Linked DNA regions of Caenorhabditis elegans. The protein of the gene in region 2 purifies or fractionates together with the protein of the main gene of each other region. This does not show direct contact. Each region holds a gene or a part of one and is shown on either strand. Other genes may lie near its edges.

Region 1 (6,552 bases), on a different chromosome or scaffold from region 2:
GTGCGAATTTTTAGAAAAAATCGATTAAAAATATGGAATTAATTACAGAATGCGACGTCAAATTGTCCCGAATATCGATTATTACTCTCGACATTTGAAATCTTCGGATTTAATTTCACTTGAGAGACGTTTTGGGTCAAGACTCGGTGCTGAGACTCGAAAATAGTAATTATTAATTTCAGAAAACATGAAATAATTAAAAAAAATGTTTTTAGCATTCGAAATTTGGCAGTAAAAACCGTGAAAATCGTGCAAGTAGTTGCAAGCCGCCCGGTGGAGAAAAATTCTGAAATTGAGGTGCAAAAGGTCGCAAGCTTGGAGCTTCAAGCGGCTCCGACGGCTCCGACGACCAGCGCAGCACAATTGGGCAAAACAAAAAGTCCTGGAGCAAGAACTCAACGGATCGAAAGAAATGATGAGTTATCCCGTGATGTGTTCGAAAGTTCTTGTGCTTCGACAATTGTGGAGCCAGAGCCTCCACAAGAAGAGCCTCCACAGAGGTGAATACTCCACAGATGTCACAAAAAATCGAATTTTTTGCCAAAAAAACTAGTTTTTGCTCCGAAAAACCAACAAACATCGATTTTTTTTTAAATTAAAAAAAAACTTTTTTTTCTCTCATTTTTTCTGCAGCAGGAAATAAATAAATTGAGGAAATATTTTCAGATCACACAATTGGAAGACGGAAATGCGAAAAATAGCCGGCCAAGCAGCTCAAGCAATTAACGATTTGATCCGACAGACTGTTGAAAATAATGATTTCAATAAGGTACAGCAAAGATAAGATGCATGTACCTTTAAATGTGAAGTACGGTCGTATACGGTGCCCGGTCTCGACACGACAATTTTTTTTTCAATCAATTTTTACGGTTGTGCGCCTTTAAAGAATACTGTAATTTCGAACTATTGTAGCTGTGGAATTTTCCACCAATTTTTCAGTTTTTCTCAAAGTCGTGTGTTTTTTTAATCGAAAAGCTATGAAAACTCCTCAGAAAAGAGTAGTTTGAAAATACAGTACTCTTTAAAGGCGCAAACCCTTTTGTGTTCGACAAAAATTTTCGTGTCGAGACCGGCTACCGTATTTTTGGTGCGAAATTTCGCGTCTGGATAATAAGAGAAACACTAATTTTCTTTGATTTTGTGAAAATTAGAAAAGAAAAACATTTTTTTCCGGTTTTTGGCTTTAAGCAAACACTTAAAACGGAACTTCTCGTTTTTTTTTTGGAAAAAAAAATTAAAAATCGGAGAGGAACTTCAAACCAATCAGCGCCTGGCTCCGCCCACCTTCGCTGATTGGTTTGGAATTTTTGGCCCTAAAAATGACACAATTTCGTATAAAATACAGTTTCTTTTTTTTCAGAAAATGTTCGCTGAACTCGAGAACCAACAAAATCTAGACCACCTGTACGGAAAAATGTTCGACGATCCAAATAAAGCCGATTGGATAATGATTGATGTCAAAAAGTTCACTGAAAACCACCTTCGCATGCAATATTTCCGTAAAATACGCGAAGAGCTACACAAAAGATTCACCAATCAGCATATCATTCGTGCCGTTTTTTGCTTTTTCCAATTTTTTGAGTATTATGTGACAGTTTGTGTTGATGTGAGTTTATTCCGAGAAATTGAAAACTTCTCGATTTACCTGAATTTTTTACTTGAATCGCCGCGCTTTTGTCTCTAAACTCCGCCCATAAAACCGTGCCGCACTGTTTTTTTTTCTAATTTTCAATTAAGAATACGGTCAGCAATGTTAAACAATTATTGAAAATTAGAAAAAAAAAACAGGAATCTGTGTCGAAATTGAAAAAACCAGAGTGCGGCACGGTTTTTATAGGCGGAACTTAGAGACAAAAGCGCGAGAATTCAAATTAGGCGTAAAAAATCCGAATTTTTTCGTTTTTTTTTCTTTTTTGGCATTTGGGACTAGTTTTTGAGTATTTTAAATTAAAATCCTTTCAAAAAATTAAAATTAAATTTCCAGGAGTCCACCGACAACTACATTCTGCTAATGAACAAAGTTTTGGAAATGTCCATCAAATTGTTGCCACTTTATATTGTTCATTGTTGATCATGCTCGCCCCTCCAATGTTAAGAATTATTTATTGAAATCATCCCGTTTTATTTACAATAAAATTATGCGATAGCTCGTTGTTTCGGTACGAAATTATCATAGTACATCGTTATGGCCTCCATCATCAGGTTCTCGGTGCAACGGGGTTCAGTGCCGACCACTTGAGCTGAAAAAGAGTTGATTTTGTTTTGGAAAAATTCCGGCAATTTTTGGAAAATTGCCGAATTCGCCGGAAATTTCATTTTCTTTTCGCGGCTCAAAAATTTCTTGGAGAATGGAAGAACTGCCGGTGTAGTCCTCGAGGAGGTTTTTTTTTTCAAAATTTTAAAAATCAGTTTTCAGCAAAAATGATCGATTTTGGAAAAAAAATTTTTTTTTTGAAAATCGAGAAATTTAAAGAACATTTATTTCCAAAAAAAATTAAGAAACTACCGGAGATTATTGAAAATTTTAATTTTTTCTAAAAATTAAAAAAAAAACTTTAAATTTTCGATTAGTACGATTTTTCGGAAATTTTTTTCAAATTTTTGAGAAATTCTTTCTGATAAATCTGCATTTTTTTCTGAAAGTTTTATTTTCTAGAAAATCCAAAAAAAAATTTCAGATTTTTTGGTAAAAAATTCAAATTTTCGATAATATCCGGCCATTTTTTTTCAAAGAAATGTGTTTTTTTAAAATAAAAATTGAATCTTCATTAAATTTTTTCTAATTTTCCTTTTTTAAACTGAAAAGCCTAAAATGGTCCAAAAATGAAAAAAATCGAGTCAAAAACTGAAAATTTACTGTAGAATAAAATTAAAACTTCTCCTCGGGGAGTACACAGCGATTCTACCATTTTTTGAAAATTAGGGAGCTCAGAAAAATAAGAAAAATAAGAAAAATCGATAATTTTCGATTTTTCGCCAAAATTCCAATTTTTCAATAATTTCAGTTTTTTTAAAAATGTTTTTTGAAAGAAATTTCTCAATTTTTCCAGTTTTTTCGATTTTTCCTACTTAAAAAGTTCGAAAAATTAGGAATTTTCGATTTTCCGTCAAAATTCCAATTTTTCAATCATCACAGGCAATTTTTGTGCTTTTAAAAACGTTTTTTTTCCAGTTTTTCGATTTTCCGGCTCTCAAAAAAATTAGGAAAATTTCAAATTTTCGCTTTTTCGACGGCATACTGACCAGGATTCCCGCCGATCGTTGAGTACGGTGGAAAAAGTGCGTCCGCTGGAACTACAGTATCCGGAAGAACCCTCGAACATTCTCGAATCACACAACCATTTCCGAGCACCGCACGAGCTCCAAGATGTACAAATGCGTAGATTTGAGCGGCATTGACGACACATTCTTCTTCAATAAATACATAATCACCAATCATAACGTTGCACATTGTTGGTTTTTTGCTGAATATTTTCATGCATGGACGGATGTTACATCGAGACTTTAGAACACAATATTTTCCAATTTTAACTGTCGCCAGATCACCGCGAATTGTCACTCCTTCCTCGATTATTGTCTGCAAAATTTCACTTTTTTTGATGTTTCAAATCAGGGGTGGGCGGCTATTTATTTTTGGCAGATTGCCGGTGTACCAAAATTGCCGGTTTGCCGAATTTGCCGGAAATTTTAGATTTTGGCAACTTGACAGTTTACCGAATTTGCCAAAAATTAGAATTTTTGGGAAATTGCCGGTTTGCCGGAAATTTTAAATTTTTACAAATTGCCGGTTTGTCGTTTGCCGAAAATTTCAATTTTTGACAAATTGCTTATTTGCCGGAAAATTTCAATTTTTCGAAAATTGCCGGTTTGCCGAATACTTTCATTTTTGGAAAATTGCCGATTTGCCGAAAATTGTAATTTTTGTCAAATTGCCTATTTGCCGGAATTTTTAAATTCCGGCAAATTGCCGGTTTGTCAAGTTTGCCGGAAATTTTCATTTTCGGAAAATTGCCGGTCTGTCGGAAATTTTAATTTTTGGAAAATTGCCGGAAATTTTTTTTTCTCGCAAATTTACGGAAATTTTAATTTTTGGCAAATTGCCAGTGTGCCGGAAGTTTGAATATTTGGCATATTTGCCGGTTTGCCGAATATTCCTAAAATGCTCAATTCCGGCCCACTTGCCGATTTGCCGGAAATTTTCATTTTCGGAAAATTACTGATTTGCCGGAATTTTCATCTTCAGCCGGTTTACCGAATTTTCAAGAAATTTTAATTTTCGCCAAACTGTTGGTAATTTTAAGTTTTGGTAAATTGCCAATTTGCCGATTTGCCGAAAATTTAAATTTTTTCCAAATTGCCGGTTTGGCAAATATGCCAGAAATTTTAAATTCCGGCAAATTGCCGAATTTGCCAAAAAATTTGTATAGCTTATTCCAAAAATCTAGAAAAATTATATTGCGCTATTTTTTTAATTTCTTTTTTTTTTCAAAATACTTGGAAAACACTGAATTTTTTCTAAAAATTTCCAAAAATTCTCACTTTTCCAGCAATTAAAATATTCTGTGTTCCAGCAATTGCATGCTTCTTATTCACTTTATTTCCCGTATGCGTCTTCGCCCATTCCGTCTCATCGTAGTAGACAATTGGAAGATCCATCTGAAAATCAGCGTCTGAAATTTTTCTAGTTTTTTTTTAAATTCAAAAATATCACAAAAGAGTTCTACTTTTTCAAATCGAGCGGAATTTTTCTCCAAAAAGACTACAAAAATAAGGGAATTTATATATAACGGGGGAATAAATTAAAGCAATAGTCATGCAAAAAAACACAATTTAAGAAAAAAAATTGGGGGCGCAGGAATCAAATTTCTTCGAGAATTTTTTCGTTCAAAAGGTTTTAAAAAATTGGTAATTTTTGGAAATAAAAATAATAAGTACATACACGAATCGCCCAGAATAAGATGAAAAAAAGTGAAATGTGTGTTCAAAAATTTCGGGAATTAGAGAGAAAAAAACGTGGAGAAGGGATTAAAATTGGAGAAAATATATAGGGAAAAAATACAAAAAAATGGAGAAAAAAAATTAAGTAAGAGCTCCGAAAACTGGATTGTAACGACAAATCGATGGTCCTCTCTCCATGTATTCGGCCTTTGTGTGTGAAACTTGGTAGAATTCCGACTGAAAATTTGGAATTGATAGTTTTTTTGGTGATTTTTTCACTAAATTTTGGGGGAATTTAATTGATTCTAAATTAAAATTTAAAAAAGTTTCCAAAAAAAATTTCATTTTTCAATTTTTTCCGACTGAAATCTTGGCTATTTTTGTGTTTCAAAAAGTTTCGAAAAATTGCCAAAAAAAAATTAAAAATATAATTTCCGAATAAAATTTTTTTTCAATTTTTTCTCAAAAACTTAAAATTGACTTTTTTGGGAATTTCAAAAAAAAAAATCAAATATTAGATTTTTTTTTGGAAAAAATCGGAAACATTTGTTTTTTTTCGAATTCTACCGATTTTTTTAAAATTTAATTTAAATTCGAAATCTACAGTTTTTTTTCACTAAATTTCGGGAGAATTTAATTTATTCTGAATAAAAATTTTTTAAAAAGTTTCCAAAAAAAAAAACAATTTTCAATTTTTTGAGTTTCAAAAAGTTTTGCAAATTTGAAGAAAAACAAATTAAAAATATAATTTCCGGATAAAACTTAAAATTGACTTTTTTTTGGGAATTTCAAAGAAAAAAAAATCAAAAATTAGATTTTTTTTTTGGAAAAATTAGTTGGCTAGTAAAAATCGATTTTTTTTTGAATTTTCAAAACTTGTTCAGAAATAGTGCTTTATTTATTTCAAAAACCATAGTTTTTCAGTGAAATTTTTTTATTTCTTAAATTCGAAATCTAATTTTTTTTTTTTTGATTTTTTTCACTTTCAAATTTCGGGGGAATTTATGACTTTATTCTGAATAAAAATTCAAAAATTTCCAAAAAAAAAATAAAATTTTCAATTTTTTTCCGACTGAAAATTTGGATATTTTTGAGTTTTAAAAAGTTTTGAAAAATTGCCAAAAAATTAAAAATATAAATTTTTAAAAATTTGTTGAGGTAACTGGAATACAAATTTCAGAAATTTCATTCGAAGCTCTGAATAAAACTTTTTTTTTTAATTTTTCGAATAAAAATCCGAATTTTTGAAATTTTTCTCAAAAAAAATCAATTATTTTTGGGAATTTTACAGAAAAAATCGAAAATTAAATTTTTTTTGTTGGAAAAATTAGTTGGTTAGTAAAAAATAATAAAATCGATTTTTTTAAAAAATTTACGAAATTCAAAAAATATAGTTTTTTTTAGTGAAAAAGTTTAATTTTCATTCAAATTTTCGAATAAATTATTTTCAACGAAAGAATTGATATTTTTTGCAAAAAAAGTACCAAAATTTCGGTCAAAAATGCATTTTCTCGGAAAAAATAGCAATTTTTTGAGATTTTCAAAATTTATGCTCATTTTTTTTAAAAATTTATGCTCAATTTATTAATTTTTAATCAACTTTTCAAAGTTTAC
Region 2 (9,168 bases):
ACAGAGAGTTCCTTAAATCTACACAGGACCCGTAAATCTACACACAGTTTTTTTTTTGCAGAATCAAAAAATCTTGCGATCCGTCAACGACCGCGAAAACAACTACCGGGTAAGAAATTTCAAAATTTTCAGAAAAAAAAATACCGGAATTTCGGTGCATCGTACTAATATTTCCAGAGAACTGTGCGAAAAATCGCTACAGCGGAGCACAATTTCATTGTAATTTGATTATTGATTTTTTGTTGAATTTATTTTCTGTGAAATTCCGTAACTGTGAAGTTTTTGGGAATGGTTTGCAGTGATTTTTTGGAGAAACTAGTGGTTTTTGAGTTTTTTAAGTAAAAAATTCGAATTCGGCGTCACATTTTACCCCTAGAAACGAGTTTTTCAAGTTTTTCTGCAATTTTGCGTGAGATCCGGTGTTTTGGGGAGCTGTAGTCGGTGTTTGCGTACTTTTGGAGCTACAGTACCCCGGGAAAGTTGAAAATTTAGCTAGAGGCTCAAACTAAAACAACTTTAGACCGAAATTTTGCGCTGAATCCAAATTTCGTAGTGAATTTTAAAAAAATTTAGTTTTTTAGTGCAAAAAATTGAGTTTTCAAGTAAAATAATAAAAAAAAATAAAACTGATTCTAAACTAAATTTTGACCATAAATTCAAATTTCTCGTCATATTTCACCCTTAGAAACAGGCTTTCAGAGCTTTTCTGCAATTTTGCGTGAGACCCGGTGTTTTGGGGGACTGTAGTCGTTGTTTGCGTACTTTTGGAGCTACAGTACCCCGGAAAATTTGAAAATTGAGCTAGAAACCTGTACTAAAATCGGAATAGACCAATTTTTTGTGCTGAATTCGAATTTTTAGTTAGTTTTTCGATTTGTTTTGAGTTTTTTTTTTTTTTTTTTCTAATTTTCAGCACGAAACAAGAAAAAGACCGCCATGGCAGAGCGTCGTTTGAAAAATTCGGCGCTTTTACTGAAAGAATTCCCGGTGCCACAGATGTTCAAGGCCGGTCAGCGGAATATGAGCATCTCCTCGATTCAGTCAAACGGGCGGCTGTGGGTTCTAATTTTTGTTTAAACTTTAAAATTTTGCTGTATTTGAATTTAGCTTGCCGAGAGCTTTCAGAAAAGTGTAATCATGACTAGGCTCCGCCCATTTTGAGCGATTTCGCAATAAATTCGGGTCCCGCCACGAAAATTTCTGGGGTACTGTAGTTTTGGGAGGAAAAACGGATAAAATACTTTTATTGCGTCGTTTACTGAATTGTGTACATTTTAAAAGTAAAAATTAGTAAAAATCTCCAAAATTGAAAAAGTTACAGATTTTCGAAAAAAATGGTTTTAAAAAAATTTTGAAATATTTTAAAAATATTTTTGAATTCTGAAATTTTTGTTTTAACAATTTTTGTAAAAAAATCCAATTTTGGCTCGCCGAGAGCTTTCAGAAAAGTATAATCATGACTAGGCTCCGCCCATTTTGAGCGATTTCGCAATAGTTTGGGTCCCACCACGAAAACTGATGGGCTACTGTAGTTTCGGAAAATTCACAAGTGATTCAATTGTTTCGTAAAAATCAATAGTTTTTCTTAATTCTGCTTAAAAATTGGCCTAAAATCTTGAAAATTAACAAAGTTATGAATTTTCGAAAATTTTCAAAAACCAACAAAAAATTTGATTTTTTAAAATTTAAAATCAATAATCTACAATAAACTTACAATTAGGCAGATGAAAATTCCAATTTTTGCAAATTTTGAAGCTATAACGCTGAAAACTCGTACAGCTAAAAACTCCGCCCATTTTGGGTCCCACCGCGACAACCCAAAAGTGGGTGGAGCCTAGACGTGTTAGGGGTCATTTCAAAGCTCTCGATGAGCTGAATTTAATTTTTCTAGTAATTCAGAGTAAAAATCTCAAGCTCGGAAATATTTCAACTTTTTCGAGAAAAAAATATTTTTCAAAAAATTTTTTTTTTTTTTGAAAATTAACACTTTTTAGAAAACCATCATTCATGCCGAGCAGCTCCAAGTTGAGCTGGAGCAATCTGAAAGTGAAAGCTTCACGTCTTTCAAAATCCAAATCAATCGATACTACACATCTCGATGTTACCCGGTTACATGCGTTGAGGTGGGCTTTTTGAATTTTTTCCAGAAATTTTTCAAAATGTTTTTGTTAAAGCTAAAGTTTAATAACATGCTTAAAATATTATATTTCAGCAAAAAATCGCCGCTTCAAAAACAAGCCCATACGAGTTTCGACACCTCCAGTCTCAATGACGACACTGATGAACTTTTATGACAGTTTTTCCTATATTTAATAAATATTTTTGAATTTTAGCTAAAATTCAACTTAATTTTCAAATTGAACTCGCCGTGAGCTTTCAGAAAAGTATAATCATGCCTAGGCTCCGCCCATTTTTAGCGATTTCGCAATAATTTGGGTCCCACCAAGAAAACTCTTGGCTTACTGTAGTTTCGAAAGGAATTTGTTTTTTTTTTTGGTATTTTCAAGGCAAAACTGAATATTTTATCTAATTTTTGAGAAAAAAAATGAGCTCAAAATCTTGAAAATTAGCAGAGTTATCGATTTTCGAAAAAATCGATTTTTTCAAAAATTTGTGAAAAATATTTTTTCCAAATTTTTCTTATTTTTGGTAGGAACTTGCGAATTTCAATTAAAGCTCGCCGTTGGCTTTTGAAAAAGTATAATCATGCCTAGGCTCCGCCCATTTTAAGCGATTTAGCAATAATTTTGGGTCCCTCCACGAAAACTCTTGGGGTACGGTAGTTTTGCAGGGAATTTGGTTTTTAATATTTTATTAGCATGAATGAACATTTTATCTAAATTTTGAGAAAAGCCGAAAATCTTGAAATCTGGCAGAGTTATCGATTTTCGAAAAATTTCGAAAAAAAATTTTCGAATTTTTTTTTAGTTCAAAAAGTCAAGAAGTCAAAAAATCAAAATTTAAATGTTCAAGATATTTTTAGTATCTATAGTCTAAAACTCTTCACCTTATCAATATAAATTTCCGCTTTGAAAACGGCAGTGATACTTTGACACCCCACCCCGACTAAACTCCTATAAAACTTGACGTCTTATCAGTGATTCTGATCATTTTGGTTTGCAAATATGCTCCGGGAGCACATTTTCTCTGCTTCTCTATTGTTTCTTATCTCTGTGTCTGTTGGCTCGGCTGCCACGTGTCATGGGGAGGAAAAGTTGGATCCCAGTGGGAAATTGTGAGTTTGAATGGGATTATAGACGATTTTGATTTAAAAATTTGACCTCAGCACCAAAAACTCGCCCGGAACATTATATTGAAACAGTTTAAACTTAAAAAATATAATTTTCAGAATTTTCAAAAAAAAAAATTTCAAAAAAAAATTTTTTTTTTGGGAAAAAATTTTAGCGTCAAAATTTTAACAAATTCGAGTTCGCCACCTTTGATATAGCTTACATATTAATTTTCAGCTCGTTTGGAGCCAATGTCGTAAGATCCGGTGTATGGGGGGTACTGTAGTCGGTGTTTGCGTATTTTTGAACCTACAGTACCCCTTGAAATTTCAAAATTGAGCTAGCAGCCCAAACTAAAATGATTTTGAACCCAAATTTTGCGCTGAATACGAATTTAAACAGTATTTTTGTGTTAATTGCTTTTGAACACGAAAATTTTTATATTTTCATACATTTTCAAAGAAATTGATAGATTTTCCAAATCAAGGTTAGTTTCTGAAAATTTTCATGTTAAAGTTTGGACTCAGCACCTTAAAGTTACTCTAGTTCATAATTTTCAGCCTGATTGGAGCCAATGTCGTAAGATTCGGTGTATAGGGGGTACTGTACTCGGTGTTTGGGGACTTCTGAAGCTACAGTACCCCTCGAAATTTCAAAATTGAGCTAGAAGCCTGAACTAAAAGGATTTTAGACCCAAACTTTCCGCTGAATCCGAATTTTAATGTTGTTTTCCATTGATTTTAAAATTTTCAGCTGCTACGTGGTCCATACGGGCGCCGCATCGTTCCATGACGCTGAAAAAGCTTGCTATGACTATGGTGGCTACCACCTGGCCTCTGTACCAAGTATGATTGACAATAATTTCTTGTACAGTAAGTTTTAGACTTAAAAATTTGGAAAGAAAAATGTAAAAATCTAGGAAAAAAATATTTCAGACCTCTCTAGCAACTCGAACGTTTGGGCCAACTACTTTTGGATCGGGCTCACCGATATGACGGCCGATGGCTCGTGGGAATGGATTGATGGCTTGGATTTGGTATTTATGAACTGGGCTTCAAGTTGGTGAAATTTTAGGAAAAAAATATTTCCGAAAAAAAAATCCAGGCTCAACTGCCGGCTATTGCGGAGCCATGCGTGCTGCAGATGCCCGTTGGCAAGCCCAGGACTGCACTAAGCCTTATCCGTTCTTTTGCTATGGACCGGCTCTCGGAGCACCGACAAATCCTCCGAATAGTGGGTTTTTTTTTTCTAAAACTCTAACATTTTCAGATTTTTCAAGATTTTTTTGGTTTGTAGTTTATTGTATCATATTCAGCTCGTTATTAGCTTTAAAATAAACACCATAATGCCTAGGTTTCCACCATTTTGGGCGAATTTCTAAATTTTTCGGGTCCCGCCACGAAAACTCATTGGGCACTGTATTTTCAAAAAAAAATGGGGTTATTAGTTTTTCCAGTAAAATCTGAAAAGTTGGTAGCAGTTTGTAAAAAAAATCAATTTAAAATCGCTAAAATTTAAAAAGTTACGAATTTTCGAAAAATACTTTTTAAAAAATTTTAACGAAATTTTTGAAATTTTCGAAAATTCATAACTTTCTTAATTTTAGAGATTTTCTTTAAATTTTTTTAGTGGTAGCAAGATAACTTATTGATTTTTACCTAAATTTTAACATTTCTAGCAAATTTTTAAGAAACAAAGTACCCCCAGCAGTTTTCGTGGCGGGACCCAAAAATTATTGCGAAATCGCTCAAAATGGGCGGAGCCTAGTCATAATTATACTTTTTTGAAAGGTCTTGACACAAACAATTTTAATTTGATAATTTCAAAAAGAAATTGTTAAAACTTTCACTGAAAATCTAATATTTACAAATATTTCGCAATATTTTTTCGAAAATTTCAAAGTCCCTAAAAGTGGGCGGAGCCTAGTCATGATTATACTTTTTTGAAAGCTCTCGGTGAGCTGAATTTAGTGAAGTTAAAATGAAATGTTTACATTAAAAATTTTCAAGGGTCTCGCCACGAAAACTAAAAGCCAAAAAAATCACAATTTTTCAGCCCCCAAGACAACTCAGAAGCCTGTGAGAAATCAGGAAAATATGATAAAATTCATGGCTGATGCCGAGTCTGTTGGTGATCCAAATGTCGACCCAAATGCTTTGAGCTTTTACAATAAGGTTAGGCTCCGCCCACTTTTAATCGATTTTTTTTTTGAAATTGCAGGAGCGGGAATTTATCCGAGCGGTGACGGATTACCTGTTTGCAAACCCGACCAGTGATGGAAATACCTGTCTGTATTATATGTCACCAGCTTTTTATGGATTCAGTGAGTTTTGAAAAATATTGAAAAAAAACTTCAAAAAAAATTTCCAAAAAAAAAATTTTTTTTTCAAAAAATTTTTTCCCAAATTTTTGTCTGAAATTTTCATTTTCAGCCCAATATGAGCAACAATTTGACACGAGCCCAGCATGGAGCCACTACCAATTTGACAATCTCCTTGAGTCCAACGTTTGGGACCAGGGAAAGACTGACCATGACTATAATATTACCGAGTGAGCTTTTTTCAGATTTTTTTTGGCCTAAAAAATAAATAAAAAAGAGCTTGGAGAGTTTTAATTGAGCTGCAACAGCTCCCAATTCCTTTTTTACGAGCTTTCCCGATATATTTTCCGAGTTTTAGACCCAAAAATTCGAGCTCTCCACCTAGAAAAACCTATTACCCGCCTCGGGAAGTCGAACCCCAGACCTATTACTCCTTAGGCAAGGCTCTTACCGCCTGTGCCACTTTGCACTCCTGCTCAGTCACGCAGGCTACCGGTGTGGCGCAGGCGGTAAGCGGCCAGACTATAGTGAAAAAGGTCGGGGGTTCGACCCCCCGAAACTGTATTTAGGTTTTCTTATTATTTTTTAGTTAAAACTTGAAAAATAGGGTAATTAATTCGTTTCACATCAACTTTTTCGATTTTATTTGAAATTAATTTTCACAGATAGCTATGATATTTTTGCAACTTTTAATCTATAATTTAGCTAAAACATCTCAAAAACTAGAAAAACTTTAAAACTCAAATTTTAGCGCAATAACCGGTGCTCAAAAGTTTCGGTGGGTCCCATCGATGAACAACATCGGCTACACTACGTTGGTATTTTTGACGGCTCGCCGCGATTTTTCCGGAATTCCGTCACTTTTCCAGCCATTCCCAAAGTTCGATGAAGTCGTCGTAATATCCTTGAATGGTATGGGTTACTGTAGTTGAGTTGCAGGTGATTACGGTAGTTTCAGGGTCCCAAATGCCAGGAATCCCGGCTGGAGTCAAAAATGTCGCGGTTTCGAATGATTTCAGCAGTACGGATATTCAAAATGTTATCAATGTTTTAAAATGTCATTAATTTTTAATAAATTTGACTATTTTACCATAGAATTCGAAAAATGTTGTCCTAAATTAGTTTCCTCGTCGGTTTTTCAAGTTTTTCACCTAAAAATTTGAGCTCTCCGCCTAGAAAAACCTAAATACAGTTTCGGGGGTCGAACCCCTTACCTTTTTCTTCATAGTCAAACCGCTTACCGCCTGCGCCACCGGTAGCTTGCTTGCCGACCGCCACGCAGCAGCGCAGCAGCCTGAGTGCAAAGTGGCGCAGTAAGCAAAGTGGCGCAAGCGCCTTGCCTATGGAGCAAAAGGTCTGGGTTTCGACTTCCCGAGGCAGGTAATAGGTTTTTCTAGGTGGAGAGCTCGAATTTTTAGGTCTAAAACTTGGAAAATTAGTTCTAAACCCAAAAAAACAAGATCAAACATTCAAAGTTCCAGGGATAAAGCTTTCAATCTGAGATTATCTACACTTTCGGCTGCATCGAAGAAAACTCACGCCCACTGGAGATTAGCAAAGAGAGGGGAGCCTCGGGATTTGTATAAAACTTGCCGAAAACTCCGTTTTTCTTCATTTTATTCTTGTTGGCTCAGAGTAAGAAGGTAGCGAGTCGAGGACGGGGAGGGAAGGGACGCTGAGAGCCCTTCTCTCCTTTTTTCATAAGTTGAACGAGAGCAATTTTCGAGGAGAGCATTCCCTACAATGGAACCCAATTGGATTTCCAGACTCATTTGTCCTGAGTAAGTCGTTTTTGTTTTGGTTATTACCGAAATCTGTCCGTTTTCAGGGAACTTGTCGCAATAACAGGAACCAATTGGCAACTCTATTGTGGGGTTACGTGGTGCGCTGGGCTTCCATCATGCTGGCGACCGCACCCCTTTTTAATTCGTTAACTTCCATCTTTTTTAATGAATATGGGCAATAAAAAGGTTTTATTGTTAACTGAAGTTGTTTTTCTTTTCTTTGTTTTTAAAACAAAACTCAAAAAATTTGGTTGAAAACTAGTTTAAACAATAATTTTGCGCGTTTTTTTACTGAAAAATTCGAGCTCTCCGCCTAGAAAAACCCAAAAACAGTTCCAAGGGGCCGAACCCCTGACCTTTTTCACCATAGTCGAGCCGCTTACCGCCTGTGCCACCGGTCGCTCGCGTGCAGGGGTAGCATTGGCGCGTGAGTGTAACGTGGCGCGGGCGGTAAGCGCCTTGTCTATGGAGTAATAGGTCTGGGGTTCGACTCCCCGAGGCAGGTAATACGTTTTTCTAGGTGGAGAGCTCGATTTTTTGGGTCTAAAGCTTGGGAATTTTAACGGGAAACCTTTTTTCCAAGACCTTCAGACTACTTTTCGTTTAATTCGGAGGCAGAAAGCATTTATTTTAGGATGAAAGTATACAATTAGTCATTTGTTAATCTGCAGTAACCAGAGAGAATATCGGATTATAATATTCAGAAGGGATTTGGATGATAATGCCAGTACGTGATAAATAGCAACACTGCTTGTTAGTTTATATTCGGCACGCACGTCAATAGGCAGATTTTCCGCGCAAGATTGTGTAATCAAAAGCCCTTTATAGCCCCCTTTTTATGAGATCATGGGTATGAGATCGGCAAATTCTGGGCGTTTGGTCTTTGGGAAATGAATTTAATTAAAAACTCTTATAACCTTTCTGGAAATTCAATTTCGCTGCTAATCCGAATATTTAGCCAATTTCCTATGCAACTTAATAACAAAACCACTGCTAGAACTTCAATTTCCCAGTGTTTTTTCATGAATTGAGAATTCTTTTTTCTTTCATAAAACTGTTTAGCATTTTCAAATGTACCAGAAAATACCAAAAAAAGTATGCTAGCTTCAATGTTTTAAAAAATTCAGAAAATGCACCAAAAGCAGTTATTTTCAAAAATTCAAAAGTACGGCAAAATCATATGGAGCGATTATTTTTTCTTTCATAAAACTGTTCAGCATGATCAAATATACCAGAAAATTCCAAAAAAGTATGCTATGTTGTTCGGAAATTTATTTTAAAAATTCAGAAAATGCACCAAAAGACCGAATTTGAACCTTATATATTGTTCAACATAATTTCAACAATTGTAGCAAAATTTGAAATTTTCAAGAGCACAATTCTTACGCCACTTGTTATGATTTCAAGGAACTGATTAAGAACACTGAAAAGCAATTATTGGAGGTTGTGATCAAAAGCAAGTTCTTATCATTTTGTGCTCCTTTTTCCATACCTGCAAACAACTCCCAGTCAACAAAAATGGTTAACTTGAAGCTCTACTTCTACGGAGTTTTTGTTCTAATCTGCTTTCTACTCCACGTGGTCGGAATCCTATCGAATTCCATTTTTATATACTATAGTAAAATAAGTTGGTTAAGAAAATTTTGAAAAAAACGGCAAATTCATTACTTGCAGTGGGTGAAAAGGATCTGGTAAGAGTTGGGCTCACATTCTGGAGATCTGTGAGTTTTATTTTTGTAAAATTGCACAAAGAGCCCTGAGTCCCTTGTCAAGCTTTGAAACCTTGCCTTAACAAATCTAATTTCCAGTGGTGGCGGGACGCCTCTACGGTTGC
Region 3 (5,491 bases), on a different chromosome or scaffold from region 2:
AAAAGCTGGCAAAATTTCAAATTTTGGACTTTTTCGGAATTTTTGTCATAAAAATTTTTAGAATTTTTTTTGAGAAGTCTCATCATGAATTCGGTAGTTTCTAACCAGTTTTTACTATAGAAAACACAACCTCTACTCCCAAAAACTGTGAATTCCGTTTCAGAAGCCTCCTAGGTGCGTTACATATTTTAAAGCATAACCGAAAATATATCGACATTAAAGTAATTGCTTAGCAGGTGGTTCTCATCTACAAAAAATCACGAGTTATTACTTTTGAGTCTAGCCTTCAGAATGCAATTAAGAATCGAAACCGAAAATCACTTAATAGTTCTCAAATGTTTCAGATTATGGAAAAGTACAAGCCCTTCCAACTGGACACACCACTCTTCGTCTGGAATTCATTTTTAGCCATTTTCTCAATTCTCGGGTTCCTCCGAATGACACCTGAATTTGTATGGAGTTGGTCAGCAGAAGGAAACTCATTCAAATATTCAATTTGTCATTCATCTTATGCTCAAGGAGTCACTGGTTTCTGGACTGAACAATTCGCAATGAGCAAACTTTTCGAGCTCATCGACACAATCTTCATCGTTCTTCGTAAACGTCCACTCATCTTCCTTCACTGGTATCATCATGTAACTGTTATGATCTACACATGGCACGCGTACAAGGATCACACTGCATCAGGACGGTGGTTCATTTGGATGAATTATGGAGTTCATGCTCTTATGTATTCCTACTATGCTCTTCGTTCTCTGAAATTCCGTCTTCCAAAACAAATGGCAATGGTTGTTACTACTCTCCAACTTGCTCAAATGGTTATGGGAGTAATCATCGGAGTCACTGTCTACCGTATCAAGTCATCGGGTGAATACTGCCAACAGACATGGGACAATTTGGGATTATGCTTTGGAGTTTATTTCACATATTTCCTTCTTTTCGCCAACTTCTTCTACCATGCATATGTTAAGAAAAACAACCGTTATACCGAAGTTAAGAAAGATAAGAAGGAAAAGGAAGAGGTGAGCATCTTTTAGGTACAGTAAATTATGAAAATAATTCAAAAAATTTCCCCGATCTCGTTTTAATTTACCTGAGAAAAAAGGTTTCAAGAAAATCGAAAAATCGGCAATGTTCAGAAAATAATTATAAAATTCAATTTTCATCAAATTTTGTTAATGTTGATGGAAAAAAACATAAGAAAACATATGAACTTATTCTTCCAAGAAGAAAAATGACCACAATTTTAACTTTTCTATTTGGAAAAAATCGAATTTTTTCGAAATATCAGAAAAATCGAAAAAACATTTCGATTGTTAGATTTCAGTAAAAAATGGAAAACCCGTTACCCTTGCTGGGAAACTTGGAAAATTCTGACTTATGAGCATATTTTTAAAAAATCTTTGGAAAAAAATAATTCGTTTTTCAGCCTGTTGATTTCGAAATTCTGGAGCCAAAAGAAGATATCAATGCTAACATCGCTGAGCCATCCATCACAACGAGGTCCGCCGCCGCACGAAGAAAAGTTCAAAAAGCTGATTAGAAAATATCAGATTGTTATTTGTTCTCTATTACCGGTACAGAGAGTGTAGATAGTTAGAGAGTGACAGACATCCGGGACCTAATGGGGCGGGGCGCGCGGAAGAGACGATTTGTGTCGATTTACGAAATAATGACAACGAGGAAAATTTCGTAAATCGACACAAATCGTCTCTTCCGCGCGCCCCGCCCCATTGGGTCCCGGATGTCTGTCACTCTCTAACTATCTACACTCTCTGTACCGGTAATATTATTTTTCGTTTCTTGAAATTTCTCTTTTACTTTTTATCAAACCTTTACGCTTTCCCTTATTTATATTCGGCTAATCATCAGAGGCCACGCAAAACTAACACATACTCAGATCTCTCACCCTTCGTCCCCCCAACCAACCCCAAGTTTTCGTTAGCTTATGCTCTTTCTTTTTTGCTCCGTTTTTTTTCTGTAATTGCCGCAACAAATTGAAACTCGTGTGAAATAGATTAGTAGTCTTTTTGTTTCCACATTTTTTCCATCGTTTTCTGTATTTCTCTTGCCAACACAAAAGAAAGAATTAATTTTAATCGTTATTCTTTCTCAGATAAAATTCTAGACACTTTTTAGAATGCTAATCTGACAATTTATGCGTTCGGCTTCTTCTCTCTCATTGGACCCTTGAATGGCTCGGCAAGAAAATCGGCCACCTGTGGAAGGCGATCCGATCCGAAAACTGTTTGAAGTACTTTTCCGTGACCATCAGTGATATGCATCCACGGAGCTCCGAAACACTGAAAAAAATTAATTTTAATTCCCAATTGAGAATATTATAAAACAGCAAAAAAACATTTTAAAACGACGCGCAAGCGCGCTCCGGGGCCAACTGAAAATGCTCCGCCCCTAAACCATGGGTCTCGTTAGGAATTTTGCGTTCGTCGTCTATTTTGTTATATTTTTCGTAGTTTTTGATGTTTTTTCGGTTGAAATAGATGAAATAAAATTATTATGATAAGTGAAAACGCCCTAAATTCACATAATTTTCTTAGACATCATTTCGATGTTGAAATCATTAAACACTTCGAAAAATATAACAGAAAGACTAATTCTAGAAAATTGTCGAGCCTAATCAAAAACGTTCAAGTTTAACGGAAAATACCTAACGAGACCCATCGTTAGGGGGCGGACCGTTTTAAATTGGTTGTGGAGCGTGTTTTCTCGTCGATTCCGTGTTTTTCTGGGTTCCTATAATAAATGACCTACTCCATTCCCGATGGCTTCATCTGTGTTTTCTCTTAAAATGTTCTTAACTTCTGCCGAATCACTCATCATCACCAACTCATCGACATCTTTTACATGCAAATCTCTCAAAACTTCGGCAACTTGACTTTTTGTGAAAATTGGTTTTCCGTATGCATAAAATCGATGCCAGAGTCCACGAGCAACGTCTTCCATCAAAACATTATCACGGAGTTGTGAAGCGACAAGAATACGTTGTGGAACGATTGAACTTGTGTTCAACATCATATTTGTGTAGTCCTTGGGAAGACGGAACGGAATTCCCCAATATTGGGCAGAGAAGAGCAAATCTTTGTGCATGTACTTTTCTTTGATAGGAATACGGAGTGGGAGACCGGGGTTTTCTGAAAACTTGCAGTTATATGATTTAGAAGGTACATATCAAACAACTTTCTGATGATTAGCACGATTCGAAAAAAATTTTCAAAACAATTATGTTATTTATCAATGCTCCTATACTTATAAAATTACCAAATATCACTTTTCCAAATGTCTCGAAATTGCTTTCAAATAGTCCTTTTAGGGACATTTGGCAACTTATCAAAACGTTCACTGATCATTTTGAAAAATCCTGAAATTTTTGGATTGTCTTATTATGTTAATATATGTCATGTTCAACTATTATAATGTTGAACTATTGTTGAACTATTTAAGTGTATTTATCTATTCTAGTGCCCTTCGTCAGATTAAAGCAGATTTTAAGAAGTAGAAGTAGCCGACCTTATGATATAAATAGATAGAGGTGCATTTTTTAGAAAATAATAACATACAGGCTTCTTAAGGTTTTGCATGTCCTTTTCCAGAAGTAAATTGAAAGCTTTTATTTTGACATTTCAAACGGAATTGTTAGAGGGTCATGGTTTAAAAACCTTACTTTAAAAAAGCTAATTCCATTTTTTTACGGATATTAGAGAAATTTCAAGACAAAAATACAAAAACTCACCAGTATGTCTGACAACACCAGCAAAAAAGAATGGTTTCATCTGAATTGGAGTCTTCCAAACGGAACGATGACGAGTGATTCCTTCGAATCCAAAGTAACTGTACGGAGAAATGACATCGAAGAAGAATTTGACCACTTTTCGGTTCGGCATTTTGAAACTTGAAGTCTGCAAAATTCATGAAAATTCAGCAATTATTTTAAAATTTTTCGACAAAAAAGCGAAAAAAAAACAGAAGCTTATGATTTTTCTAAACCTTAATGAGCTCCAGTACTAAAACAACTTGAACTACTTCGGGACGCTTTTAAGATTTCTGAAAATTCTTATTTTGTAGAAAAGTTTTTTTTAAAATAATTAGGCACGAAAAAAAAAAACAGCCGAATCACGTTGGCCAGACAATAATGATAGAGTTGAGAAGAAAGAAAAGATATTTGTGTAAACATCAAGGGAGGTACCAATGAGTTGATAGGAGCACAGACACGTGGTAGAGCAATTGGAGCATCAGCGGACAAAAAACAGAAAAAAAACAGTTGGTCTCAAGTCTAGTGAACAAAGTGTAGAATTGTTTGCAAATGACCACGATAAAAATAGATTTTGTTTGGAAAAAAACTTGGGTACTCTAAATATTTGATTTCTATTTTTCCTAACCGCACGTGATAACCAGATGTGCGATTTTTGAGCATTTAGTTGTTTTGGATAAAAGATATGAAAATATACAATGAACAATATTTTCAGGAAAGAAGTTTGGTTAAATGCTTTATGACTATTCCAAATACGCACAAAAATACCTGCCATTTCTTAATTGAACTTTTAACAAAACAATTTAAATGATAAAGGGAGATAAACGTAAATTTATCATGTGTGTACACCACCCAGCTCATTTTATGTTAGAATGTAGAATCGAGGGGCTAAGAAGGCACGCAGGCAGGCAGGTATATGACATACACGAACAAATGAGAAAAAATAAAATTGTAGCCAGTGTAAAAATGATCCGATCTTTTCACCGTTCAATAAAAACATAAAGGGCTGAAATAGAAACGGATGAAAACAACATTTTGTGTTTTTGAAATTCAGTTCTTAGAAGGAGATCACGTGACTCGAGGTGAGTGAAAAGAAATAAAGTGCAAACGGGTGAAAAAGAGGGAACAGAATTGTGTTGTTTGTTGGAGGTTAAATATGTACTTTGGGTTGTGGAATTGGGATTTCATAAAGTTCACGTTTCGGAGAAAAAAAAAAGAAAATGAAATAGAAAATAATCCGATTGGAATAATTTGTTCCGAAAATGTTCCGGCTTTTGGAAAAAACAACTGGAATATATTGTTTTTAAATTTAATTGGAAAACTTTTACATTTTATGATAAGTTTTCCAATTAAACTATATCTGAAAAGTTTAAAAAACAATAATGATGTGAAAACTAACAGTTCAGATCTAGAACTCATTTTTGTTTTCTTCTTATCGAATTCTCTGCCTTCCACTCGCAAATGTTTGCCACATTCTTGACTTTTGGTTCATAAAGAGTGCAAATTGTTTCAAAGTTTGAAGAAATAAATATTTTTAGTATCATTTATTTGGGTTTTGCATTAAGTTGATCTTACTGGCCCAACAAGGAAATTCAATTTAAAAAAATTGGCTATGAAATTTGAATCAACAATTGAGAAGTCCAAAAATAAGCAAAAATAAATAAGCAAAATTAAGTAAAAAAAAGTAAAAAAAAGGAATTTGTCATCGCGGTGATTCAAATT

Evidence for each region. Proteins that work in one complex are often made in the same cells at the same time.
Region 1: the proteins of clec-150 (region 2) and dnc-5 fractionate together in Caenorhabditis elegans (co-fractionation; one large-scale study listed by BioGRID). This does not show direct contact.
Region 3: the proteins of clec-150 (region 2) and gstk-2 fractionate together in Caenorhabditis elegans (co-fractionation; one large-scale study listed by BioGRID). This does not show direct contact.

Annotation. Positions count from the first base shown.
Region 1 is NC_003279.8:2,878,785-2,885,336, forward strand, and holds dnc-5 (Dynactin subunit 5), read right to left. Parts: upstream 4,671-6,552; 5' UTR 4,657-4,670; coding exon 4,540-4,656; intron 3,578-4,539; coding exon 3,244-3,577; intron 2,241-3,243; coding exon 2,137-2,240; 3' UTR 2,092-2,136; downstream 1-2,091. Other genes in the region: Y71F9AL.8 (Myb_DNA-bind_3 domain-containing protein), read left to right, coding at 49-165, 216-500, 667-769, 1,361-1,606, 1,985-2,071; arx-1 (Actin-related protein 3), read right to left, coding at 5,080-5,175.
Region 2 is NC_003281.10:999,602-1,008,769, forward strand, and holds clec-150 (C-type lectin domain-containing protein), read left to right. Parts: upstream 1-3,105; 5' UTR 3,106-3,125; coding exon 3,126-3,235; intron 3,236-3,511; exon of another isoform or gene 3,512-3,574; intron 3,575-3,983; coding exon 3,984-4,102; intron 4,103-4,165; coding exon 4,166-4,288; intron 4,289-4,334; coding exon 4,335-4,463; intron 4,464-5,285; coding exon 5,286-5,404; intron 5,405-5,450; coding exon 5,451-5,553; intron 5,554-5,662; coding exon 5,663-5,780; intron 5,781-6,301; coding exon 6,302-6,462; intron 6,463-6,508; coding exon 6,509-6,615; 3' UTR 6,616-6,697; downstream 6,698-9,168. Other genes in the region: trp-2 (Transient receptor ion channel domain-containing protein), read left to right, coding at 62-109, 178-219, 914-1,055, 1,995-2,123, 2,213-2,294; R06B10.7 (uncharacterized protein), read right to left, coding at 1,692-1,796; clc-27 (G_PROTEIN_RECEP_F1_2 domain-containing protein), read left to right, coding at 8,853-8,961, 9,009-9,055, 9,143-9,168.
Region 3 is NC_003282.8:7,238,354-7,243,844, forward strand, and holds gstk-2 (Glutathione s-transferase kappa 2), read right to left. Parts: upstream 3,918-5,491; 5' UTR 3,903-3,917; coding exon 3,752-3,902; intron 3,153-3,751; coding exon 2,773-3,152; intron 2,304-2,772; coding exon 2,157-2,303; 3' UTR 2,092-2,156; downstream 1-2,091. Other genes in the region: elo-3 (Putative fatty acid elongase 3), read left to right, coding at 345-1,022, 1,430-1,543. UniProt on the Caenorhabditis elegans protein: Has roles in respiratory and lipid metabolism.